Xenopus tropicalis: one gene and its partners. The protein of the gene in region 1 purifies or fractionates together with the protein of each later gene. This does not show direct contact. Links are inferred from orthologs where the notes say so. Each region holds a gene or a part of one and is shown in the gene's direction. Other genes may lie near its edges. The genes, in order: rc3h1, cnot10, cnot9, serbp1, cnot2, cnot11 and cnot7.

The links.
Region 2: the proteins of rc3h1 (region 1) and cnot10 purify together in Homo sapiens (affinity purification with mass spectrometry, with the first as the bait; 3 studies listed by BioGRID). This does not show direct contact. The link is inferred for Xenopus tropicalis from reciprocal best matches to the Homo sapiens genes RC3H1 and CNOT10.
Region 3: the proteins of rc3h1 (region 1) and cnot9 purify together in Homo sapiens (affinity purification with mass spectrometry, with the first as the bait; 4 studies listed by BioGRID). This does not show direct contact. The link is inferred for Xenopus tropicalis from reciprocal best matches to the Homo sapiens genes RC3H1 and CNOT9.
Region 4: the proteins of rc3h1 (region 1) and serbp1 purify together in Homo sapiens (affinity purification with mass spectrometry, with the first as the bait; 3 studies listed by BioGRID). This does not show direct contact. The link is inferred for Xenopus tropicalis from reciprocal best matches to the Homo sapiens genes RC3H1 and SERBP1.
Region 5: the proteins of rc3h1 (region 1) and cnot2 purify together in Homo sapiens (affinity purification with mass spectrometry, with the first as the bait; 3 studies listed by BioGRID). This does not show direct contact. The link is inferred for Xenopus tropicalis from reciprocal best matches to the Homo sapiens genes RC3H1 and CNOT2.
Region 6: the proteins of rc3h1 (region 1) and cnot11 purify together in Homo sapiens (affinity purification with mass spectrometry, with the first as the bait; 4 studies listed by BioGRID). This does not show direct contact. The link is inferred for Xenopus tropicalis from reciprocal best matches to the Homo sapiens genes RC3H1 and CNOT11.
Region 7: the proteins of rc3h1 (region 1) and cnot7 purify together in Homo sapiens (affinity purification with mass spectrometry; 5 studies listed by BioGRID, with this or other methods). This does not show direct contact. The link is inferred for Xenopus tropicalis from reciprocal best matches to the Homo sapiens genes RC3H1 and CNOT7.

Annotation. Positions count from the first base shown.
Region 1 is NC_030680.2:98,036,385-98,039,884, forward strand, and holds part of rc3h1 (roquin-1), read left to right. Parts: intron 1-225; coding exon 226-489; intron 490-1,157; coding exon 1,158-1,375; intron 1,376-1,877; coding exon 1,878-2,260; intron 2,261-3,500. UniProt on the Homo sapiens protein: Post-transcriptional repressor of mRNAs containing a conserved stem loop motif, called constitutive decay element (CDE), which is often located in the 3'-UTR, as in HMGXB3, ICOS, IER3, NFKBID, NFKBIZ, PPP1R10, TNF, TNFRSF4 and in many more mRNAs.
Region 2 is NC_030682.2:50,224,724-50,228,223, forward strand, and holds part of cnot10 (CCR4-NOT transcription complex subunit 10), read left to right. Parts: intron 1-623; coding exon 624-800; intron 801-2,687; coding exon 2,688-2,768; intron 2,769-3,500. UniProt on the Homo sapiens protein: Component of the CCR4-NOT complex which is one of the major cellular mRNA deadenylases and is linked to various cellular processes including bulk mRNA degradation, miRNA-mediated repression, translational repression during translational initiation and general transcription regulation.
Region 3 is NC_030685.2:82,345,818-82,348,235, forward strand, and holds the end of cnot9 (CCR4-NOT transcription complex subunit 9), read left to right. Parts: intron 1-10; coding exon 11-120; intron 121-453; coding exon 454-552; intron 553-670; coding exon 671-762; intron 763-1,069; coding exon 1,070-1,238; 3' UTR 1,239-1,918; downstream 1,919-2,418. UniProt on the Homo sapiens protein: Component of the CCR4-NOT complex which is one of the major cellular mRNA deadenylases and is linked to various cellular processes including bulk mRNA degradation, miRNA-mediated repression, translational repression during translational initiation and general transcription regulation.
Region 4 is NC_030680.2:83,566,754-83,571,001, forward strand, and holds the start of serbp1 (plasminogen activator inhibitor 1 RNA-binding protein), read left to right. Parts: upstream 1-1,448; 5' UTR 1,449-1,576; coding exon 1,577-1,841; intron 1,842-4,248. UniProt on the Homo sapiens protein: Ribosome-binding protein that promotes ribosome hibernation, a process during which ribosomes are stabilized in an inactive state and preserved from proteasomal degradation.
Region 5 is NC_030679.2:59,329,356-59,333,616, forward strand, and holds the start of cnot2 (CCR4-NOT transcription complex subunit 2), read left to right. Parts: upstream 1-1,461; 5' UTR 1,462-1,471; coding exon 1,472-1,582; intron 1,583-2,339; coding exon 2,340-2,412; intron 2,413-4,261. UniProt on the Homo sapiens protein: Component of the CCR4-NOT complex which is one of the major cellular mRNA deadenylases and is linked to various cellular processes including bulk mRNA degradation, miRNA-mediated repression, translational repression during translational initiation and general transcription regulation.
Region 6 is NC_030678.2:110,377,181-110,381,229, forward strand, and holds the start of cnot11 (CCR4-NOT transcription complex subunit 11), read left to right. Parts: upstream 1-1,249; 5' UTR 1,250-1,663; coding exon 1,664-2,072; intron 2,073-4,049. UniProt on the Homo sapiens protein: Component of the CCR4-NOT complex which is one of the major cellular mRNA deadenylases and is linked to various cellular processes including bulk mRNA degradation, miRNA-mediated repression, translational repression during translational initiation and general transcription regulation.
Region 7 is NC_030677.2:42,300,004-42,303,983, reverse strand, and holds the start of cnot7 (CCR4-NOT transcription complex subunit 7), read left to right. Parts: upstream 1-1,180; 5' UTR 1,181-1,323; intron 1,324-1,330; exon of another isoform or gene 1,331-2,009; intron 2,010-2,812; 5' UTR 2,813-2,915; coding exon 2,916-3,032; intron 3,033-3,980. UniProt on the Homo sapiens protein: Has 3'-5' poly(A) exoribonuclease activity for synthetic poly(A) RNA substrate. Its function seems to be partially redundant with that of CNOT8.

The DNA of each region.
Region 1 (3,500 bases):
TGTTCCCTGGTAGTCAGAGATGAGCTTTACCAATATATTGTTGCTTGCCTACAGTTTTCAAAAGCCTTGCATATTCATATCATAGTCAACCAGGATATTTAAAAGGCACAGTTTAGGGTCTAGTATCCATTCTTGGTTGTATGACTGGGCAGTACCAACGCGTGGCATCTCACAGTAAAACTTAACTTATTGCTTTAGACATTTTCCTGCTCGTGTTTACTTTAGGTTTCGGAAAATGAACAAACGTTTGGTTCCAAGACGGCCACTCAGTGCTTCGCTTGGTCAGTTGAATGAGGTTGGACTACCGATAGGAGCACCTGATGAAGGTCCTATGGACTTGCCACCCCGAAAGCCAAGTGGGCTTCCCAACGGCATTGTTCCGGGGACACAGCTCATCTCAAGGAGTACAGACTCTGGCTTTGAGTCAGTGCTGAAACAAGTAAAATTGGATCAATTGAGCAGCAGTGCACCTGGATCTCCTCCAGAACTGTAAGAATCTCAGGGTGTTTTTTTTTAATAAATTTATTTTTTTGGTCTTTTAATTTTGCTAGGTTAGGTGTCAACTTTCTCCAAAAATGTATTTTTATTTAGATGATGGAAGAGACTATTTATTTGGTAGATAGCTTGTATTTTTAATTTTGTAGCTTAAAGGCCAAAGAAAACCCCAGCATATTTGATCTGCACATGTACTTTAATGTTTACTTGATGTATGTTTCTTTGTAGTATACAAAAGCTCTGTGTTTATGCACATGCAAAGGTTTCCAGACTTATTAAATGCACGTGCACTAAGTTTTGGGGAGCACTTGATGAAACAGGATATGATGGGAGGGGAGAAAATTGGTAAGTGTGTATGCGCTCCTTCTATTGCATCCTAACACATGCCTAAGACTCATGCTGAGGGTTTTCTTGTCCTTTAAAAACAGCATAGAAAAATGTGTATTGCTTCTGATTTGGCAGTAACATTTTAAGCAGGGTTTCTCAGTGGGAGCCAGTCCAACTCTGGGAGTCAGCTTGGAGACCCGTGTTATGGTTTTGGCTATGTATTTGGTTTAACTACAATTGTAGTTAGATGAGTTTTTGCCATGAGGCTTCACAGCAGTTTCTAAGCTTCTAGAAAATATTTTTTTTTACTTTTTTATATTTCAATTTTTGGCTAGGCTGGATTCTGTCCCCAAGGCATCTATGTCTGCTTTGCCTGTCAATGCTCATCCTGCTGCTTCGCGTGTATCCAGTGATATGCCACCATTGCCGGTTTCCAAGCCAATCCAAATGGTGCCACGTGGTTCACAAATATATGCCCCTCCTCCAGCAGATACGTTTTACCAAGAATGTCGGGGTGGTGGACCTCCATTTGATGCAGCTCCCTATGCACAAGGTAAGTGATGTTTAATTCATTAAATATTCATTTTATTAAGTGTTGATGAATATAAATTTGTCACTGCATGTAGTTGGAAGTTGCTGCAGATTTAATGTAGATCATTTGATGTGGGTAGTCCTGTGTGCAAGCTTTTCTTCAGACAGCGGCTTGAGAAACTAGAGGCAGCCTTTTCACAATGTAATCCAGCTTGTATTACCCGTCATGTATCTTTGACACACAAGCTAAGATGTTAAGATATTAAGATGTGGGTATTTGCAGTGAACTCAGCTATTCTGTCCGTTGTGATGTCTAACACACTTTCCAGTGGTTTACATTCTGCAGGACACATGGCACATGCATGCAAATTGCTTGGCAATGCTACAAATAGCATCACACCAGGAGACTTTAGCCTAATTTGTGTAGTCATAAGAAAAAATGTAAATATTAATGGCCTTTAATGTACATGATTTTTTTAAGAAACAACTATGTAAGTTCTCACGTTAATCAAATTCACTTTTAGGTGTTTATTACCCACCTCAGTCCTCCCAGTGTGTTTCACGCTTTGTCAGACCTCCTCCTGCTGCCACTGAACCAGCCGCCACCTACCTCGACCACTATACTCCCTACTTACAGGACAGAGTTGTCAGCACACAGTATGGCACTCCCACTCAGCAGTACCAGACAATTGTACCCACCCAGTACCAGCCACATTATGACAACCGTCGTGTTTATCCCTCTAATGCTCCACCTTACCAAAGGGAGGAAATAGTTCGTGCAAGTCCGGTGCCTCTAGAAATGCCTCCTGCTGCTATCTCTCCCTATGTTCCTGAATCCAGAGAGAGATATCAGGGAATTGAAGGTTATTATACACATCCAGGACAGATAAGGCCATCATATCATAGGGTAAGTATAATATCCATCTTCCTCTTAACTGAGTATGTATGAGAACACAAGCAAATGGAAAGAGTGCTCAAGGTCAACAAATAATATATGGTAATGTAATAGCTAAAGTAAATGTGCAACACTGTGAGATTATTTTAGGGTTCTAAAATATTTAAAATAAATATTGCCATTACTAAGTACTTCATCCGCACATTTTAATTTTTTTGTACAAAAACATGCAGTATTCATATAAGTGAAACGCTGTGGTTTTGTGTGGCCAAGTTCAACTTAGCTTTGTTCCTTTTTACTCTTCATCATCTGTCATAAGGGCCCCCCATTCTGCATACTCAATCTTTGTGATATCTTACCATTACCCATATGATGAGGGTGTAACTAGTTTTACAAAAGAATTAGTATATATCCATACGACTACAACAAAACAACAACAACGCTTCAAGATTTAGTCTTTAAGTTTAGCCTTGAGGATAGAAAGGTGGTCTTTGAGGATCAGAGTGGACACGTTGAAAGCCAGATTTCATAGCTTTAACAGAAAAGATATGCAATAGTAGTTGGACAGACAAAATGGGTCAATAGTGGCCTTTTGTAAGATATACTTGAGATGAGCAAGAGTAAATTCCGATAGCTGGGGAAGAGCTGAATATATGCAAAGGAGCTGCAGCACATTGTTTAAGCAAAAGAGGGCACGGAGTTGAGGGAACAAGTTGTGAGTGGAGATGACGAGAAGCTTGGAGGCTTCAGAATCAGAAGACTGTTCTTGAAGAAGGTGGGCATAGGTAGGAAGAAGCAGTTTTTCTTGAGGATATGAAAACTGAGTGATTTTGCTATTGAGGGATAGAAGTTTATTAAATTCAGTATATTATTTGAATGTAATATAGTAATCTTGCTTGACCTTTGGAAGTGCTAAATTGTTCTGTGAGAATTGTTCTGTGAGAAATTTGGTTGGACTTCTCACTTGTGCTAGATTTGCAATGGTTCAGGGTCAGAGGAAATAATGCAGTTCCAAACTTAAAGGAACAGTAACACCAAAAAAATGAAAGTGTATAAAAATAATTAATATTTTATATACTATTGCTCTGCACTAGTAAAAGTTGTGTGTTTTCTTCATAAACACTACTACAGCTTATATAAATACCCTGCTGTGTAGCCATGGGGGCAGACATTTAAATTGAAAAAAGGAGAAAAGGCACAGGTTACTAAGCAGATAACAGATAAGTAGCATAGATTCCCATTGTATTCTACA
Region 2 (3,500 bases), on another chromosome or scaffold:
GTGGCACACGGGGAAAAAATGTAAATCGCCAGGGGGATGGCATACGTTGTGCCGTGATTTCCCCGAAATCGCGGAAGTTGCCTTGAGAGCAAACTTCCACAATTTTGGGGAAATCATGGCCCCACGTATGCCATCCCACCGGTGATTTACATACTCGCCGGTGGGATAGTATTTCGGGGAGATTAGTCACCCGCGACAAGGGAGATTTGTCGCGGACAACTAGTCTCCCCGTCTGCCACATCCCTTAGTGTTACTGTTCCTTTTCTTGTAAGAAGAACGGGTAATGTTGGGGGGAGCAAAATGGTGCACTGAATTTCATGTAGGGCTTTATTTCCCATTTAAATCACCATAAGGCCCAATTGTACAAGTAAGCCATAGTATAAAGAGGGGATATTTGCTAGTAACCTATTCTGCATGGTGAACTGTGTGTGTCTGACACATGCTGTATGTGGTATTCCAAAGAGACCCAACAGATCTGCCACTCAGCTCCATTGACTACTTTGTACAACATTATTATTGTATTAGCATACATAAGCCATGAGTAAATGCAGATAAATTTGTTTCACTTAATTTTGTATAGTGTGTATCTGTTTTGAAATAGATTTGTGCTTTTTATTTATCAGTGATGGAGAGTCTTCAGCTATTCCTGTTGCTAGCATGGAGTTTGCTGCAATATGTCTGAGAAATGCATTGCTTCTTTTGCCAGAAGACCAGTTTGAAGTAAAGCAAGAAAATGGTTCCAAGGCTAGTAGTCAAACAGGCAATACAGACTCTAGCGGGGAGAGCAGTGATGTGTGCAGGTAAGCAGACAAGTAATACTGGCAGTTTCTCTGCCTTGCTTGTCTTTTGTCATTGTGGGGAAATATAAACTGTGTCTTAAAATTTACTAATGACCTGGAGATTACGACCTGGAACTGATCATTTATTCAAACCATCAGTCTTAAAAGCGGTAATGTTTTATTATTATTATCTATATAGTGCCATCAATTTACGCAGCGCTTTACAGAATAGAGGGGTACAAAAGGCAGAATAGTTAACATGCACATATAAACAATTCACAAAAATGGTTTGCAGTTACATTGGATGAGGATCAGAGACACTAGGGGGTGGGCCCTGCTCGCAAGAGCTTACATTCTAAAAGGGAGGGCTGTGACATAAGGTCAGGGTAACTAGTATGACGTTAGAGTTCATGTAGGTGTGTAAAGTGACAGTAAGTGCAGAGTGAGAGGTGAAAACCAGTGGTTAGTGAATGTTTGGGGGGGTTTAGGTTATAGGCTTGAGTGAAAAGGTGAGACCGTTTAAAGCTTGGAGAGTCTGGCAGTGCCTAATGGGACGGGGAATGGTGTTCCAGAGGATCGGTGCAGCGAGTGAGAAGTCTTGAATTCAAGAGTGTGAGGAGGAGAGAAGGAGGTCATTTGTAGAGCGAAGGTTACGTCTGGGGGTGTACTTGGGGATTAGGGTGGTTAAGTAGACTGGTGCGGCACCAGTGAGTGCTTTGAAGGTGAGTACAAGCATCTTGAACTGAATCCTGTACATGACAGGTAGCCAGTGCAAGGATTAGCAGAGAGGGGCGGCACTTGTGGAGCAGGAGGATAGCTGTACAAGTCTGGCAGCACTGTTCATGATGGATTGGAGTGGGGTCAGTTTAGACAGGGGTAGCCCACAGAGCGGTGAGTTGCAGTAGTCTAAGCAAGATATGATAATGGTGTGGATGAGAATTTTGGCTCTCATCAGTGAGGAAAGGTCAAATGCATGCTATGTTTTTGAGGTGGAACCGACAGGATCTAGAGAGTGTTTGAATGTGGGGAGTGAAAGAGAGAGCAGAGTCAAATGTGACTCCTAGACAGCGAGCTTGTGGAACTGGGGTTATATTAATATTTTCCACGCAGTGATTTCAGGCAGGGAAACGGAGTTGGAGGGTAGGGAGAATGACTAGCTCAGTTTTGTCCACGTTGATCTTTAGGTGGCGAGAGGACATGAATGCAGAAATTGCAGTTAGACAGTCGGAGACACGAGTAAGGAGCGAGGGCGGGTCTAGGGAAGAGAGGTAAATTTGGGTATCGTCTGCATATAAATGATAGTGGAATCCAAAGGAGCTGATTAGTTGACCCCAAACCAGTGGTGTAGATTGAAAATAGAAGGGGTTCAAGAACAGAGCCTTGAGGTACCCCAACTGAGAGAGGCTGAGGAGTGGAGGTGGTGGCCGAATGGGAGACACTGAAGATTAGATATAGTTTTTGTTTATTTACCACCTTAAACTGTTTTCTTTAATGAGAGCGAAGACGCACTGAGCGATTTGTCGCGGCGTGACTAATCTCCCTGTGTGTCACGGCCCTTACTCTAATGTTGATCCCAAACTAAACTTGAGAATTGTTTTATTGGAGATGTTTCTGTTACAGCTTTTGTAAAAGGCAAACAGAAGCAGGATATCTAATATAACAAAAGCATTTAATTTGGCCTATTATTATTAGTTTTCCACTATCTGTCTAAATCGCTGCTAAAATGATTTTTCTAAAATGATAAATATTGTTGGCACTATTCGCATGGATGAACTTGTCTCGTCTTTAAATAAAGAACTTTTTAGCATCCCATCCTGCATCATCATCATCTCGCTCGTTATTGAGTGAGAGCTGCTCATATCCTTTGAGCACATTCATCTTTAAAAGAATTATTTGATTTTCTTTTAGCAATAAAAACCACGAAGGGGATAAATTCATTCCAGCTCCACCTTCATCTCCCCTAAGGAGGCAAGAAGTAGAAAACCTAAGGTATGGTATGCTTTCTTCATGTTGGTTGGTTTTATATATATATTTATTTTTTCAAGACTTTTTGTATTGACTTTATCGTTATCAGCCATTACTTATAATTAGGTGTTATGTTTCATTTCATTTTATGCATCTAAGTAATATCTAGGAAGTGCTTAATTGTAATTAAAAATCTGAGCTGCCGATTGTATACATGTATTGACATGTATTTCCTGCCCCGCCTCTATGCCTTAGGCATAGCTAACTGCCTACTTTGCAGCTGCATCCAGCTGCAGGATCTCAAACAGTATGCAACAAGTAGTATGTACTGTGCACGATTTTGTGAGCATGATTCACCTTGCATATATTTCCTTGGTAATTGCATTGTGTTGGATCCATCTGAACAAAAGGGAAACTCTGCAATATCTTGACATTATTTGGATTCAAATGTGCAATAACAGAGTCCTCATTAAATACGGAAAACACTGGTGTGACATGGTTACAAAAAATGTGTAGGATGACAAAATCTTACCCTAAATGACCTCAAAGCTGGGCTTTCAAATGTATCTAGGAGTTAAAAGAAACTCCCCAAATTTCACCCTGACTAATCTTCAGGTTGAACCCCCACTGTTGCTCTACTTTACAGCCATCTAGATCTACGTGCTGCTGATCACAGGATCTTAAAGTATCTTAAAAGGTGTGTTCCAACCTTGTTTAAACCTCATAGCTGATAGTTAGTAAAATCTCTTGAAATAC
Region 3 (2,418 bases), on another chromosome or scaffold:
TCGCTAATAGGTGCCCTTGTGAAAACGGACGAACAAGAAGTCATAAACTTCCTCCTTACCACAGAAATAATCCCATTGTGCCTACGTATTATGGAGTCTGGAAGTGAACTCTCCAAAACAGTACGTATTTTATTGATGTGCCTACTTTTGTTTGTGAGTCTAAAATTTCATTGAAGAGCAAGACCAACTTGAAGCACATTCTCTTTACACATGCACTGCAGTTCTCTCAGTACAGGGGGCATATAGACAGAAATGGCTTTAGGGTGCTTGTGGGCCGTTTCAGCTGTTTTCCCTGCAGTTTAGCATATTGATTGGTAGACAGAATTTACTAATCAGATCCAGGGATGGTGCCTGATTATTTTCCTTCTGTCGTATTTACTGGCTCACAGTGCACTTAGCAATGCTATAACATCCTGCCTATGATCACAAAATGTATTTGTCTTTTTTTTTTAGGTTGCCACTTTTATTCTTCAGAAGATTCTCCTAGATGATACGGGTTTGGCCTATATTTGCCAAACTTATGAGCGCTTCTCTCATGTTGCAATGATTTTGGTAAGAAGCCGTGCTTCGTGTTACACGTCCTATAACTGGGTTTGCCACCATGTGATTTTAATGTCTTTGAAACATATTATGGTACAGGTAGCTGTTAACAATCTTTTTCTTTTAATAGGGGAAAATGGTCCTACAGCTTTCAAAGGAGCCATCTGCAAGGTTGCTGAAACATGTAGTACGCTGTTACCTCCGCCTCTCAGACAATCCAAGGTACGGCTGAAAATAACCCGTGACTTCTTTTTCAGCTTGATAGTATAGGTTGCCATATTGCTTGTGAGTTTTATCTTCAATGCCCTGTTCTCAAGGTTTTCTTACTCCCTCCTTATAAGTAACCCTGTACAGCACCTTTATTTAATTAGTTGAGGGATCCCATCTTAAATGAGAATAGGGTTTTTATGTCCATAGCGGATAATAAAGCAGTACACCTTATTATTAGATAGCATATGTAACTACATACATTCACTAAACAACAGATTTATTCCATTGTTATTCACATTACATTAATCTTTGATTCCAGAGCGAGAGAGGCATTGAGGCAGTGTTTGCCCGACCAGCTAAAGGATACCACTTTTGCACAGGTACTTAAGGATGATACCACAACCAAGCGCTGGCTGGCTCAGCTTGTCAAGAACCTGCAAGAAGGTCAGGTCACTGACCCTAGAGGAATACCCCTGCCTCCCCAGTAATATCTGCACAGACGGCAAAATGTGAAGCTGCTTGTATAAGTTTGCAGAGCAAACAGCAGGAGGAGAAGAATATAATGGGAAAATTTAAAAGTTGGCACTAATTTTTCTTGCTTCCTGGTATAGTCCTGCTGCATGGCATCTAGAGGCAGCTGAACCACCTGACGTCTCAAGAAGGGTACAGATCTCAGCACCAGCAACAAAATAGGACTGCTCCATAAATTGGTTTGATGTGGAACAAGAGATGGCTGCTTTAGTATCTGGTATTCCGTGTTGCCGTAGTGCAGGATGGTATGATCTGTCTTTTGGTGTGGGCAGTGAGCTACGTTTACTGTTACAAAAAAAAAAAAAAAAGTACAGTCAACAGACTTTATCTGGAACAGTACAGTCTTCTAGCTCTAATGGCCAAGGCTAAATCGTTCCTCCACTGGTTGCCTTTTCTCCTCCTGTGCTTCAGCTTATTCCAAACACTAGGGCAAGTTCCGCTATTGAATACATGCTCTTTTTTTCATCTGATTTTTTGCGCAGCACAAGCTTTTCCTGCAGTACAGACTGTGAGCCCATCTGAGTAACCATTTCTGCAAGATTTTGACTGTAAGTCATAGAACAGCCTTGTTACTTCGAAGCATTTGTCCATTGACCCTTTAGGAACAAATTGTTTAATTAAAGCATTTCCTAATGCAGCAGTGGCTTTTACATTTCTTAATGTTTTTCATGACCTTTCCTCCTATCCATGAGAGCTGCAGGCGATGCCAGTAGGGCAGGCACTCGGGGGCGCTAGAAAACAGGAGCTCTATACAATGGGAGAGTAAAAAGGACACATTAGATCCCCACATCCTTAACTAGGTTGCATAATAAATAAGTGGGCATCTCAAACTGTGTCTCTTGACTCTGCCATGACAAAGAACAGCATTGCTTTCCAGTGCTGTGAAACTCCATATTCTTGGGCTCTGTACACCTATCAATTATATCCTTATAAATATATTGCGACTTAGTGATTTGGTGGCATTGTGCTTAAATGACAGCGGCAATGAACTGTTAATTAAAACATCCTCTCTGGCAAGTTATGGGGAAATGTAATGGGGCTGTATCTATTGTGAAATGCTATTCACAGTGGAATGGCTGTCTGTCAGGAATCTCACCCCAGCCTGCGGCAGATTATAATGGGATGTGGGGGCCAAGA
Region 4 (4,248 bases), about 14 Mb from region 1:
CTTGAGAGAACACACAGTCAAATGTGTTGGAAGTCAGGGCAGTGTTTCAAGCTCTGAAAGCCTTTGGGCCCAAGATAAAAGAAACAGCGGTGACACCAAAAATAGACAATTCATCTATTTTAGCAACATGCTAAATTAAGAAGTAAGGGAGGACCAGGAATCACCTTCTTAAGAAAATGATGTCCCTAGTTTTTATTCAGGAATAGCAGAATCTGGAGTAAGTAACTGTAGTTCACATTCTGGGCGTACTCAAACAACAAGCGCACTATATAGTTACATAGTTGCACAGGGTTGAAAAAAGACCAAAGTCCATGAAGTTCAACCCTTCGAAGTAAACCCAGCACACACAACCTATACTGACCTATCTATACACTCACATACATAAACCATATATACCAACATCAATACTAATTGTAGATTTTAGTATCACAATAGCCTTGGATATTACGCTTGTTCAAGAAATCATCCAAACCAATCTGCCATTACAATATCACTCAGAAGAGCATTCCACAGCCTCACTGCTGTCTTTTCCTGCCCAATTTTCATGTGAGCAGACCTACCCTCTGTGTATGCACAGTGGCATTATCACAGTCCCCCAGCAAGCCATGCCCCCAATATTTCCCCAGTGTCCTGCGATTTGGGTTGACGTTATAGGAAATGTTCTTTTTTTTGCCAACTAGGCCAGTAAAATACCAGGAAGGCAACAACACAAATATATACTAGGGTTTCCACTTTTCTGGAAAAAAAACTGGCCTTCCTATATTTTTGTCTTTAACCTAATAATAACGTTGGCAGTAAACATAGTTTTTCTGACCAGACCAGTAAAATACACCCATCTGTTGTACAGCACTACATAAAATGTTAGCACTTTACAAATACATCTTAATAATAGGGATGCACTAATTGTCTGCAAAACAAAATGTAGAGGTTTTGTTTTAACGGAAAAAATATTCATACAGAAAAATATGGCAACACATTGTTTCATTCAGAGACTCCTTTTTTTTTTAATTAAAACCTTTATTTTTCATTCCCATTAGCTACTATATGCGAAAACGCCTATTTCTGTAACTCTATGCTGAAGATTTTCATCAGCATTTAGCTTCCAAATTATTGAACTACAACTCCCACAATCCCCTGGCTACAGCTTCATAACAATACAACTAAGGGAGCATGTTTCCTTATGGGGGCAATTATTTTTTTAAAAAAACTATTCTAATACGGAATACTGAGGCGGTAAATTACAGCTACCCAAACCAAGCACCTCCCTCACTTCGTCTGTTTGTCTCTATCTATCTACAACTGACAGGCAGCACGCATGAAAACATAGATGGGGCCCGCACAATGCCGGTGAATGGCATGCTGGGAATGGTAGTTCCTAGCGCCACTATGTAACATGCACACGCACGACAGTTGGCATACAAGTCCCATCATGCCGCAGCCGGAGAAGTCCCGGATGTCTATCGCGCCGGAAGAGAAGACAGCCTCTTTCCCAGCCATCTTTTGGCTTACTAGCAAGCGAGCTCTAGGCTCCAGGCCTCGTAGAATCGGAGGAACATCCACCTCTTAAGGGGCCATCATGCCCGGTCACTTGCAGGAAGGCTTCGGCTGCGTCGTAACCAATCGGTTCGACCAGCTATTTGACGATGAATCTGACCCCTTCGAGGTGTTGAAGGCGGCCGAGAACAAGAAGAAGGAGGGCGCAGGGGGACCGGGTCAAGGGACCGGCAAAACGGCAGCTCAGGCCGCCAAACAGCCCAAGAAGGAGTCCCAGAAAGACCGGAAGAACCCTCTGTCCGAAAAGGAGGAGAAGAGCCAGGCGCCTGTACCAATCAAGAAGGAAGGTAACGCGCCATAGGACTAGCACTGAGGGAGTGACAGTAGGCCCCGGGGGTGATTAGGTAGTTTAATCCAACGACAAGTGGCGAGCTGTGTAAGCTTCAGCGCAGGGACGTTCCACTACTGAGTTTCGAATTATTTTATATTTCATTTCCATGCATGCACTTATAGCCTATAAAGTACTACCCCAGGTTCTACGAGTTAAGAGTTGAACTCGAAAGGTGCCATATAGCACACATTCGCAGTGTATACTTTTCCTGTCGAACTGTAAATTACGCGTTTATAGCGGCAGTTGGCTGAACCAGGCGCTTGCACCTCGGTTATCGCCGTATTGTTAACTTCTTTTTGTCAGACGGGCTCATGGCACATTAGACGGGAGGGGGGGGAGGGGAGCGTTAAGAATCGAATTGCCCTCCAAGGTCAAGCAGAGCTGTCACTGAAGTGTTACCGTTAGGGCCTCGCACATGGAGCTGCTTCCCTTAGCCCAGGCTTGTGGCGGGAGAGCGCTAGGGAGCACGTGGTGTGAGGGGGGAGGGGGGCGGTTGTCACAACACTAGGCCCTAGCCATACTTACCAAACACGTGGGCCTATCACTGAAATGTGTGTGTACTGCTATGGGTTGGGCGCTTCCTGCAGGCCTCACCACTCTGAGCCCTACTATTACTGGAGGGTTGTTGCCTTTTTCTTCCCAGTACAACTACAAAGAATAAAAGTTTGCAACATTGGTTTGGGTTGGCTTGTGCTCTTTAATGTGCATACGCCAGATTTTACTATGGGGGGGCCCTAGATAAAATATCAGTTTTCCATGTGGTTCATGAGAGCTACAGCAACTAGTCCAGGTATTACTAGTGTCAATCACAGCCGCTAAAGACGTGTTATAAAAGTACTTTGTGCCATAAAAAACACGCCGTATCAGACTCCTAACCCTAAAGCGTTTTGGAAGGCATCTTAGCTTTTATTTTAATACTAATGTCAACAGACTGATGGGAAATGTTCAAGCACTTGACCTAAAAACTAATAATGTGAAGCTCTGCTCTTGCAATGTTCAGGGCAATGTCATTTTTCTAAACATTTCCATAATTTACCCAAGTTTTATTAAGTGTAAAGCCCTTTTCTATACTGGGTGTATTTCAGTAGTAGAGTAGCGCCTGAAACAGCCCCCGATTCTTTACATTGACCAGGTGTTTTTCCTATAAGGGAATGGGGGCAGCAGGTGTTGTTTGGGGCACTTTTTAGCTAGCTGAAATAAGGCTGTGGAGAAACCACCCCATCAGCCCTTAATGTGTGGCCAATTTCACCACACATCATTGCTGTCTTTTAGTGTTCTGGTGTAACAGTTAGATCATCTGTTTGTGCAGTGTATTCTGTTTGTTACATCTACCTTCTTATTTCTCACTAAGTTTCACAGTATATTTCTTAATATAGGAGAGCTGTTAGGAATATTCCAAAACGTTTAAATGTTTTAGCATCTTACGAGAACTAAATATATATGACTAAATATATAAGCCTTCCTACCTTTTATGTTGCTGGGCAACAACTTCCAGCATTTAAAACTAACCTAATAGTCACAGATATAAGCATGCTGGAAGTTGTAGTTAACATTTGGGGACACCAGGTTTAAAGGGCTTGTGGTGAACATACTTTTTGCCTATTGTTTTAATCGCCATAAATCTGTTATTTTTATTTCTTGAGCTGAACTGGGAAATTGAAGTTACTCCATCTTTGGTCCTTGTGAGGTAGAATATTAATTAACAGTGCCCTTATAAGCTCCATGTGTAATGGGTTATTGTTAATGAAAATCTCAACTGAGGATAAAGGGAAGAGGGTTATTTACTTTAATCTAATTATCTATCTCGCAAGGTCCAAACATACAGTAGCCTCGGTTTCCCTGTTTAGCTTAAGAACAAAAACCATAGATTTTTCATTATAAATGCAACATGTACAACATATGTGCAATATGAATTTAATGAATAGTGCTTGTACTGAACTAGAGTTTTACTGCCCCTTTAAAAAAAAAAGTTTTAAATGGACAATATAGTAAACTACTTTGTTTGCTATGTATGAAACGTAGTATAAATACTTGCAGTTACACAAACAGACAACAAATGTGATTTGTATACATTAATCATTTTCATAAAGTGAAGTCTTTTCCAAAATCTAATTATTAAAAGGGTATCGTGCTAATTATGTAGATATGTTAATTGTGTCAGTGTGGCCCTTCCCAGGTCTGGGCACTTTGTAGCAGATATGTATAGTTAAATGGTAATCCAATAGTTCAAGGTCATGACAACTATAATTCTGTATGAGCTTACCTTTTCTTAGTTGTATGAAAACTCATTTTAATTCCCCCCACCCATATACATATGGCATCACATGTTCTCATGCTGGTGTTCATGTGCTCAAGCCATCTTC
Region 5 (4,261 bases), on another chromosome or scaffold:
GGTGTGGGTTGTGTGTGCTGGGTTTACTTGGATGGGTTGAACTTGATGGACTCTTGATGGGTCTTTTTTCAACCGTATGTAACTATGTAACTGTTGCAATGCAAGTAAATTATGTAGTAAATGTTACATAATGTGTCCATATAGTTCAGCATTCTGTATATAGTACAGTGTTAAGTTATAAGTGCAATTTAATTAAACTTTGCAGCTTTATTCAATTTCCTGGGCATTGTGACCATTAATTAGGTAGTCAGTCCTCTTTTTTACTTTTCTCCTACAGGGTTTCCCACATATTCGATAGTTATAATTGTTTGTGGGGGGGGGTGTGTGGAAATACCAGTTATATCATAATGCTCAATAAGATCTTTTAACTGTAGCCCTCACAATTTGCCCAAAAAGCTATTTGCAGACAGTTAGTTAGTTGTGCCATCACACATGGCATGCTTATTAGAAGGGGCCGCTGCAATTGCGTCTGGCAAGATTAAGTCTAATAAGGTCTGAAAGACTCTTTTCTTATTATTAAAATACATTGACTGTCGGATGTGGCTGCATAAACAAAACATTCCATCCGACTTTATTTAATCTGACGTGCATTACATCAGAGGGGATCATATTTTGTAGGATTCCACAAAATCTTGCAGTTGTGTGACAATATTTTGTGGGTCAGATAAAATATCAAAATATCATGTAGTTTAAATCTCTTGGTGGTATCTTTTTTTACCACTATACTTCGCTACATTCTCACGTGAATTTATTTAACCCTGTCTAATCTTACTTTATTAGACCCCATTCTGCCTAGGTGCTATCCTTTACAGCTTTAGAGGTCGCACCCCAACAGAAAAATTAACCCAATGGTTAAGGAACACAAAACTTTTTCCCCTACTAATACTTTAGCCTAGCCAGTTTGGCTCAAAAAAAAAAAATGCTCAAAAATGTATTGATTAACTGTCCCAAATCAGTGCTATTACCCTGAACCACATGTGTCCTTTAGCAATTTACCAAATGCGATCACCCCAGTTTTTGCACTCTATATGCTGACTTAAAAAATATGCCTTATTGATGTTTTTTTTTTCTTCTTATAACTACACTTTTATAGAACAGTTAGTTAGTGAATATTCTTTCCACAGAATAAGTGATCCAAATGAGTCCCAGTGGTTGTATTTATACTATCTGGTCTGCTGATGAGACAGTCGAACATAAAATACTTTTCCATTTTTTCCAGTCCAGTGAAAGCATCCGTATATCCGTTGGTATTAACTTAATGCTATTTTTGTATTTATTTTTATATTTAAGCTTGAATTATCTGATGGGATTTATGTGGTTGCTCAGAAATAGTGGTTAAACGTATTTTGTGTTCTTTAGGCTTTTCAAACAAAGTAAATAAAGTATCATCAGTTTTAGTTTTAGAGAAAATCACAGCGTCTGTCTCACTGGTGTAATCTTATTGCTTTTTAATTTTTAGGTGACATACAGCATGTTTGGTGCTTCAAGAAAGAAGTTTGTAGAAGGTGTCGAAAGTGACTACCATGATGAGAATATGTATTATAGCCAGTCTACGATGTTTCCACATCGGTCGGAGAAAGATGTAAGTTGAGTTTCATAGCAAAATGCTGCAAATAACTTTCAGAGCACACAAAATAGAAGTATTCTTGTGTTTAGTGTGTAAGTTATAACTGCAAAGGTTGGGGACTTGGGTGCATGTTCCTGTGAGTGGCAATACCTTTGGTGGACAATTTAAGGCACAGATATATAACAATATGTAAACAGTCCTAAAGTACAACATAGTGTAAAATCCCATGTGTCTATAAAGCTGCAGAAAGATTTATGTGTAGCAGATTTTAAAATTCTATTATAAAAGGAGCTGTAAATTTCAGCTGTAGTCTGACAAAATAAAATACCTTTTATAAACACCATGGTTTGCTCTTTGTAATTGTGATGTATGGTGTTAATTCATGTATAGTTACAAACAAGGTTTATAAATACATTTAAAAAGACAGCTTGCATTGTAAATAAGCACAGTTGGCTTTTAACAGTTTCACACCACTGTGTTTTTTTTTTCTGGCAAAAAAGTACTATGCTTGTATTTCAACATATTCATGAGTGCTTATGTTGTTAAACTATCATACTTCTGAAGCAAAATAAAGAACCTTTTTATATGGTGAAGTAAGGTAACCCAGTAACTTTGTGTAGCTGGAAAAATTATGTGGAAATTTAAAGATAGTCAGTCTAGATCTTGACTGATTTAGAGATTGTTGGGTATACATTTTTGTGAGCCTTCTCTCATTGTGTTCATTTGCACTAATGATATATAAATATATATATATATGTTTCGTGTTATTTAGATGCTGGCATCTCCATCACCATCCGCATCGGGTCAGCTGTCACAGTTTGGGGCCAGTTTATATGGACAACAAAGTAAGATTCTTTTGGCTTATGAGGAATTGCATCCTTTGGAAATGAATCCTTTTATGTGTTTATATTCATATTGACTGTCTCCTGTAGAGTAAATTCTACTTCAGGGGGAGTTTAATTAAAGGTCGAAAGAGTATAGGCTCTTAGTCACATTTGGTTGGATGAATATTTCAAACAATGCGAGTGTTACAGTGTGTTACCGTTATATTTAAGTGCACAGAACTAAGTGACTTTCTCTTCTGATACTTACTAAAATGCCTTATTCTGTATGGGTTAGGAAGTGCCATTTTTGCTTAGTGGGTTAGTGTTAGTACTTGAGGGACCTTTCACGACACTCACAATAACCGAAACAGAGTTATGAACCACCTTATCCAATCACTGAATAAAGAAATGTTTAATCACACAATATATATTTGGTCCTTTTCTTTGCTTCTAAAACCATAATTCTCTACTCCTCGCGTCTGGGTTCTAGGTTTATCCCACAGATATTCACTTGGGTTAAGGTCAGGATTCTGTGCAGACTGTTCAAGTTCTTTAACTCCCATCCCAGCAACCAAATTTGGTATGGACTTTGCTTTGTACATAGGGACATTATAGTGCTGTAACAGGCAAGTGCCTTCCCCCACATTGTTGCCAGGAAGAATGATATTGTAAAGAATGTCATTGTATGATGGAAAGGCGCCAGTGGCAGCAACAATGGGTGTCTTAAATCGCCAATTCCAATAGAATACTTGTGACCATAATGTGTAACTGCATATCTAATGTATCTAGCAGGTCTAAACTGCAGGAGCATCATATGGCATTTTTAACTGGTCTCCTGCCAAAATATAAGCTGATAGTTTAAGTCCCTTAAACTAGGTTAATGCATTTATAGTTGCATTAATTAAATAAGAATTTGGACAAATAATTAACTTATATAGACTAACAAATCCCCCCGTTGTAGGTAAGGATTTTTTTTCCCCTTTATCGCCTAAAAAATTATTATTTAGTTACATAGTAAAGGTCATTATTCCGAATTATAAAGTTGTATCAGAATCTGACAATTTCATAGGGTCTACTGAATATTGCAAGTATTCACTTGCAGGGTCTACTGGTACTGCCTCCAAGATGAATATTAATCTTGAATAAATATCAGATTAATTTCAGCACTGCCATGCAGCCATTTTTTAAAAATATACTGATTTACAGAAAGCATTGGTTGAACTGCATTGTCCAATGTGTAGACAACACAGGACCAAACAATGACTAGGGTATTCCCATGGCAAATCAATGAGAAACTTACTAGTGCTCATGCTTTGGGCCATGGTTGCGGAACGATTTATATTTTAAATATTGTTAGGCTTAATCTTAATATCATCTTTGTCCTCCACCTGAATCCAGCATATCTGCTCTTTGCTTTCTGACCTAAAGGCTAATGTTGAAAAGCTTCTACATACTGCAATTCATTCTATAAAATGCCCCCTGCAGTGCTAGGCTTGGCTGCACTGGGGGCTCCCTCCCAGTAGAGCTAGCCTAGCACAGGCAGGGACACTTTTTTTTTTTTGTTCTTTAAAAACTTGTTTCCCACAACCAGAGTGCTGGCTCTATTAGCCCGCACCTCCTGGGGGGGGGGCAGTGACAGGTACACTTTAATACATTTTCTTATATATAGAAAAATGCATACCCCCTCCACCATATTTATATTTTTGAACAACACGTTAATTTATGTTTACCTTAAAATCTAGCAATTTTTCCCAAAAGTAAATGTCTATTTAGTCTCATAATATACCATTAACATTCATTAATCATTTTTAGCCTTGCAGGGAAGAGCATACTATATCTTATATTAAATAACCAGAATTCCTGTTTTACT
Region 6 (4,049 bases), on another chromosome or scaffold:
GCACAGCCATGACTCTTATCTCCTCCCTGGTCATAGACCATTTTGTCAAACCACACACAACTCACCTAAACTCCCACTTTCCCCTCCCCTATGCAAACAGAAATCATGCTTGGGGCCCGGGACTGCAGTAGCCCCTGTGCCCCTTCAAGTATTTTTGTGTATAGGTATGAGATATATGAGATATATTATGCTGGAACCCATTACCCAAAATGCTCTGTAACAAAGCAATGTCATACTATAAAAAAATAAATAGGCTGTAATCAATTTTTTTCACCTTAGATTTATTTGTGGCTGGCCAGCCTACTAATTAAAAATACTTATTATCACATACAATTCATGACTTAAGGTCAACTCTTCAATACAAAACACAGACCACCCCTCCTTTGAATCACAAACTGGGACAATAGCACATCTTTAGTGAACTCCAATAAAGGGTAATTTTCAAGTTTGATCATTTTTATCCCAGAATAAAACCAGCATCATATATTATTTATTATTGACTACATAGCTGGGATAAGACCAGCATCATATATTATTTATAATTGGCTACATAGTTGGGGTAAGTAATAGCATTATTAGTAATTGTATGTAATAATCAGTATTTGAATTAGTAGGCTGACCAGCCAAAAATAATTTTAAGGTCAAGTCTAAATAAAGTGAATACAGAAAACCCAGTGTATTTTTTATAGTATTGCTTTAACCTTACCCATTTGGGTTAGGATTTGTTGCCATTGGTACATTGCATTATTCCTTTTGGGATAAACAAAGCAAAGTTGCTTCCAGTAGTATCCTGTTTATATTCCTCACTATTGCAGGCGACTACTCTCCCTGACATGCCATCCCACTGGCAAGAATGTAAATCGCCGGTGGGATGGTATACGCATCACTTCACTCGGCTGAAATTGCCTTGCAAGCAAACTTGCGGGCGACTTTGGAAAACTGAAGCAGCTCATATACCATCCCACAGGTGATTTACATTCTTGCCAGTGGGATGGCAAGTTGGGGAGATTAGTCACTCACAATAGTGAAGATTTAATGCAGTTGACCAATCTCCCTTTGTGCCACTGCCCTTAAAGAAGAAAAGGTAAAATGTTAGGCTACAATCACTGGGGGGTGCTTTTCTTCTCCTTTAATTAGCATTATTATTCTAAGTCAGAAAACTTTGACCTCAAAAACAAATATGTTTTATTAGACAAACAATTTTCCACCAGTTCAGAAATACCCCTTATCCAGAAACCTCCAACATTTACCAATAACAGACCCTGGCTGTGTTTATTTTACTGTGGAAATGTTACAGTCCATGTAGCCACTATCAATAGCAGTCCCTTGCGGCTTTGTTGACATTCCAAAACTATGAACGGAACGCTCATCCCCACGTGATTTGTGCATAGTTCGTCACTTCCTGCTGTGTGAGTCCATATCCCGGTCCATTTTAGAAATCTTCTATCCAATCTCACGGCTGCGACGCATACAGAACCAAATAATACACACGCCGATCTGAGAAATACAAAACTTTATTGACACGTGTTTGAAAGAACAGTGACAGGCAGGCTGCTTGTGTAGGCCGCCATACATGTAATAACACGGGAGAAGGCGCGGGCTGTCTCGGCTGCCACAGAAGGCAGCGGCGTTACACTTACACGCTGTCCGCATTCCCGCCAACATGAGCCTCTGTGGGAAAGAACTGTCCAACCTGCTGGGCATCATGACGGAGGAGGCCTGCAGTACCACGTTCGAGGGCCTCTCAGCCGCCTTCCATCACTGCTTCTCCAAAGCAGACCATTTCCGTGTGGGCTCCGTGCTAGTCATGCTCCTGCAGCAGCCCGACCTACTGCCCAGTGTCCCGCAGCGCCTCACCGCCCTCTACCTGCTGTGGGAGATGTACCGCACCGAGCCGCTGGCTGCAAATCCTTTCGCTGCTGTCTTCGCTCACCTGCTTAACCCACCCCCTTCTGCTGTAGAGGAGGTAGAGAGACCCCTGTCAGGTAATCATTGTCCAGAGGTGGTGGGGGTTCACCCAAAGCTGGAGGGCAGCAAGTCTGATATACCCCGGTGTAGTCGTCTTCACAAAGGTAGTTGACTAAATGCAGTGATATTGTAATTAGTGGACCAATTTACTTTCTGTAGCTCTTCAGCTTGAAATTTTAGCAGCAATCTGGTTACTATGGTCCAGGTTAGCCTAGCAACCAGTCAGCAAGTGTAGATTTATAAAAGAGGACCTTGCTGAAGTCAGTGGCTATCAACTACAGTAGAACCCCATTTTACGTTTTTCAGGGGATCATGAAAAAAAGATGTAAAATCGGGGAAAATGTAAAATCAGGGAAATGTGTTAAGGACACATAAATGTCAATGATTTAAAAGAAATAAGTACAGGAATAATTTTTTATTTGCAACACAGTTCCTTTACTGAGTTATTTCACAGGTTTTAGCAGAAGTACTGAAACAACTTTTTACAGTACTGTAAAACATTTTGCATTTAATGCATGTGTTTGCTAAAAGTTTGAATATCACTATAAATTAATAAGATGCGGAAAAGAATACTGTACAGCACTGAAACAAAAATCTGTATTCTTTTAAAAATCTGCACCTTGTACAGCTGTTCCCCATACTTGTGCAACTCTCGCTGTATTTTGTACGCTCCGGGATAGGTACGCATACGCAGTATGAAATACTGGCGATAGTGGTGACGCTGACCTTCCTAAGATGGCGTCTGTGATCGCAAGACATGGGGGAAACTTTAATTCCTAAAGTAAGCTGTATTTTTACCTTAAAACTAAGCGATTTGCTAGGGAGAGGCATGATAAAAACAGTGTAAAATGCGGGAAATTCATATGTAAAATCCGGGAATAGAGCCCATAGGAATGCATTAAAATTGGTGGGACCACAAAAAAAACGGTGTAAAAAGCGGGAAAACTTAAAATCCGGGGATGTAAATTGGGGGTTCTACTGTATTAAGGTGGCCGTACGCTATAAGACACTCGATTTTCTCCCGATATGCCCACCCATGACTGGGCAATATCAGGGTAATTCGAACGGTTGGCCACATAAGCGCCGTTGTATCGGGAAAGTCGATCCAAAGGAAAAATCAAACCTGACAGATTGAAATCTGCCCAATTTCGTGCCAGATGTCTGTCTGTAAGACCCTTTGGTGGTGCCCATATCCTGCAGATAAAGGACTTATATTGGCAGCTGAAATCGACCCATGTATGGGCACCTTTACACAGGGTTTTAAACTGCAAACTGGAAAGGTGCAGAAAAGGAAGGCAATTAACTGAAAACTGGTCAGAAAGTTACTATGAACAATAGGCTGTTTTATAACTAAAGTTAGATAATAGTCAGGAGTGTAGTTAACATCACTGGCATATGGAAACGTACATGTGGAAAGACTGAATACACCACATGGAGGGCATCCCTGATCCAGAATATGGGTAACAAACTGGCTTGGGACTTTCCTACACTCTGGTTTCTGCTATCAGGCCATACCATGTCAATGTGAGAGCTGTGCATTAATTCGGCTAATAATATATAATTAGTTACTCATCTTTTATTTCTGCTTTGTCTTTGGAGTGATAACTTCTTTCTGGAAGTTGTAGTCATAAACATGCCATCATTAAATAGCAGGGGTCAAAACATCTGCTACATCCATTAAGCCTATATGTCACATGGGGCTGATTTTTGACCTTAGAATCGGCCCCTATACTGGCATCTGCCCTGTGCCCGCACCCGGAGCCACTGCATCAACCTGGGTGCAGTCACACAGTGTGGATTCCGGTTTTGAAAACTTAAACTTGCAAGTTTCAGGGACAAAATCTGCTCCTGGTGCATCAGCACCATGTGGCATTAGGTTGAAGTTACATGGAGCGATTAGTCACTGCAACTTTTTAAAAAGTTGCGGCGACTAGCTGCCGTGCTGCAAACGACGTACAACGCGTATATTGATCTATGGCAGCTAAATCGCCGCTGCAGAGTTTTTAAAAGTCTTGGCCTTGTATCTTTGCCCTTAACATGACTATCCTGAGAAGAGAGTTTAGCTATCATCACAGGCCTTG
Region 7 (3,980 bases), on another chromosome or scaffold:
AGTGTACCTTATTAACATTCCCCCCCCACTTCATAAGTGTACCTTATTAACATTCCCCCCCCACTTCATAAGTGTACCTTATTAACATTCCCCCCACTTCATAAGTGTACCTTATTAACCTTCCCCCCCCACTTCATAAGTGTACCTTATTAACCTTCCCCCCCACTTCATAAGTGTACCTTATTAACCTTCCCCCCCACTTCATAAGTGTACCTTATTAACATTCCCCCCACTTCATAAGTGTACCTTATTAACATTCCCCCCCACTTCATAAGTGTACCTTATTAACATTCCCCCCCACTTCATAAGTGTACCTTATTAACATTCCCCCCCCACTTCATAAGTGTACCTTATTAACATTCCCCCCCCACTTCATAAGTGTACCTTATTAACCTTCCCCCCCCACTTCATAAGTGTACCTTATTAACCTTCCCCCCCACTTCATAAGTGTACCTTATTAACCTTCCCCCCCCACTTCATAAGTGTACCTTATTAACCTTCCCCTTACTTCATAAGTGTACCTTATTAACATTCCCCCCCACTTCATAAGTGTACCTTATTAACATTCCCCCCACTTCATAAGTGTACCTTATTAACATTCCCCCCACTTCATAAGTGTACCTTATTAACATTCCCCCCCACTTCATAAGTGTACCTTATTAACATTCCCCCCCACTTCATAAGTGTACCTTATTAACCTTCCCCCCCCACTTCATAAGTGTACCTTATTAACATTCCCCCCCACTTCATAAGTGTACCTTATTAACATTCCCCCCCACTTCATAAGTGTACCTTATTAACACCCCCCCAATTTCTAAGTGTACCTTATTAACCTTCAACCCTCACTCAGATAACATTAAATAAAACCGCAAGATACAGTCGGCTGTCACTTCCTCTTACACCCCCAGTTGTCCCTTGCCGTGCTACACAACATGTATGTAACCTTCCCTACGCACCATGATATCTGAGAGAAGCCATACACGCAGTTGTCACATACCTGCACACACATACTAGATAGACAGTTGTGTGTTTATCCCATCAAGCACAATCCCAGTTGCCACTTACTTTCACTCTCCATGGGTCGCGCCGTATGACGCACAGCCTGTGACATCATGTCACCTACCAGCTTGAGAAGGGGATGGTTTTCCACGCCTTTGTGGCGGCTTGACGTCATCCAAGTGCGTCCGGGAGGAGGTTAGCAGGAACCTGCCGTGGGACTGGCGCGTCGCTCGCATGACGTGTAGGGGCCTCGGTAATCTCCTGTGCGAGCCCTGGGAGCGCGGTCGTGAAGTGACAGACCGGCAGCGGCCAGACTTATCTTAGGTAGGGCAGGGATAGTGTCGGGCTGTGAGCCTTACAGAACGGATACGGAGCAGTGGGATGGCACACACACACACACTGGGCACAACCAGAGGCGGCTGTATTGTCTGTCACAAGCATCAGTAGGCATTGGTGCTTAGCGCACATACCGTGACTATGGGCCAGTATCCAGTCGGGGAGCCTCCAGCTCGTTCAATCACAAGGGACGCAGAAGGGATACTTGCACCTGAACAGCTTTTATTGGCAGCTGTGTGGCGAACCCCTAGCTCGTAAACTACATTACCCAGCATCCTTCATCAGCCAAAGGATACGCTTCAGCAACAAGTGCAGCTGGACATCTTCCTGTCTACCCCGCAAGACAGTTCAGGGAGACCTGCTTCTCCCCATTCATTTCTGGCTTTTATTAAAGGGGCAGTATACCCCCTTGTTCATTATGATTGCAATGAATAGAACTTGTGCTGATCATACTTTTTGTCTGTTTTAATCAGGAAACATTTATTGTTTTTGATGTTTTCTGTGCTAAACAGTCAACTGAAGCTCATGCATGTTTTGTGAGGCAGATCATTATCAGTGCACAAAGGAAATCCTGCCAACCTGTAAGCCAAACTAGACATAACAAAGGGTGATGGGATGAGGGTTGTTTATACAGAGCTCAGTATATCTAGATAAACTAACTCATCTAATTAATGGTAAGAGAGTAAGCATAGGAGAAAACAAATGCTTCATTTCTGATTTATTATAATGTTATCACTAAGAAATATGCAATTTTTTCAGTTGATATGTTCAATGATATGCTGTATTATTTGCATATGTTCTATTTATTTTGCTAATGTTGTATATTGGCATATACTGCCCCTTTAACACATGATCTGCATAAAACATGGTCTGCATCCAGGGTGGCACCTAGAGATTCTTATGTATAGAACTCTGGTATGGTCACTTTCCAAGAGTTGTAATAATACTGCTAGCCTACATTATTACTACCCAGTTGAAGCCTAACAGTACCAGCTGTGTTCATTATCTCTGCTTAGTGATGGGCCAGAAAGCTCAGATTGCTGGGCCTTGCTGTATAGAGCACTAAGGCAAAATAGAATTATGCTACTCCCTAAAGAAGCCACAGTGTTGACTTAAAAGATGGCTTTACAACTATTACCATGGGTAGAGAGAAGAAATATTCTATTTATACACTTTTGTGCTTCAACCACAACTTCCCCTAACTCATATTAACAATGGATCACCATATATGGGCAAAATACAAAAATCAATTTTTGGGTAATGTCATGGACCAAACACACTCCATAGTCAGAGGATCCCCATTCCTAATATAAAATGTATTGCACAAAGTGCATATTGTTCAAAAGGTGGTGGCATGCACATGGGCCACCTTTCCCCTTTCTTGGCATTTCCTGATATGTTCTGCCTGCTAGTATTATACCGGTATATTATTTTTTATTTGTTAGTAAAATAAAAACTATTCTTCTTTTAATTTTAGATTTAGCAGCTGATTTCGGCCTCGGCCTACCACCTATGAAACCCTTTAATAGCTAATTGCAAAATTTTGATGCCTGCCTCTGAGTCAGTCCCCCAGACCCACTATGCCAGCTGCAACAGTGGACCTCAGCCAGCGAATTTGCGAAGTCTGGGCTTGCAACCTGGATGATCAAATGAAGAGAATCCGCCAAGTTATACGCAAGTATAATTATGTTGCAATGGTATGTTTAGGATGTTTGTTTCCCCTCCAAAAATGTTTTTCATTTTTGAAATTGGCATTAAGAGTTCAGGAATATTTAAGATTTTATAGATTTTTGAGTCTCCTCAAAGGGGAACCTATTTACTGTTTATAAGCAATCCTTGCTTGCAGTATCTGCCACACTGCTTCCGCTGTCAGGGTAATATTATATCAACTATAGACTCTAATGGCCCAATGTTTCGTGTGACATAACAATAATAGAATAATTAATTTACTTTAATATGCAATATAAGTACTTGTTTACATTAAAATATTAATATTTTTTTTGTCCAGTACAATGGGTTCGGTTTATATTGCAGTTATAATTTTTCTAGTGTGTAGAAACAAGTCAGGCTGCTTACTGCACTTATTTGTTAAAGATATTTCTAAGTAGAACTAAAGCCTAAAAAAAAAGAATATGGCTAGAAATGCTGTATTTTCTATTCTAAGCTAATTGTAGCAGCTTTATGATAGTAAAGATCCATGGGCTCAACTGCTAAAGGTGTATGGTGGCCATGGTCTGGTAAGGTGCCTGCCATTGGGTAGGCTAGGTAGCAACTAAAACTCTTAGAATAGTGGCACACGGTGCTGTTTCAGGGACTTTGATTAACATATTTTTAAAGGAGAACTTTACTTCCGGATGGCACTCTTTGCCTAGACCCCCCCCCCACCTCTCCCATATCGCATTGTTTTCAAGTTTACACTCTGTCCCTATTGCTGACTGCTAGCTAAAAATGCAGACAAGCGCAACCGCGTACCTCGCCAACATCTTACCGACTGAAGACTCTTTGGGTCTCACAGCCGACACCTAACCTGCTTGAGAATGCGCAGTTGAAGCAGATTTCCTGCTACCTACAACTACTCATGCGCAAGCAGGTTCGTATCGGCGGTGAGACCCAAAGTGTCTTCAGTTGGTAAGAAAATGTCGGCC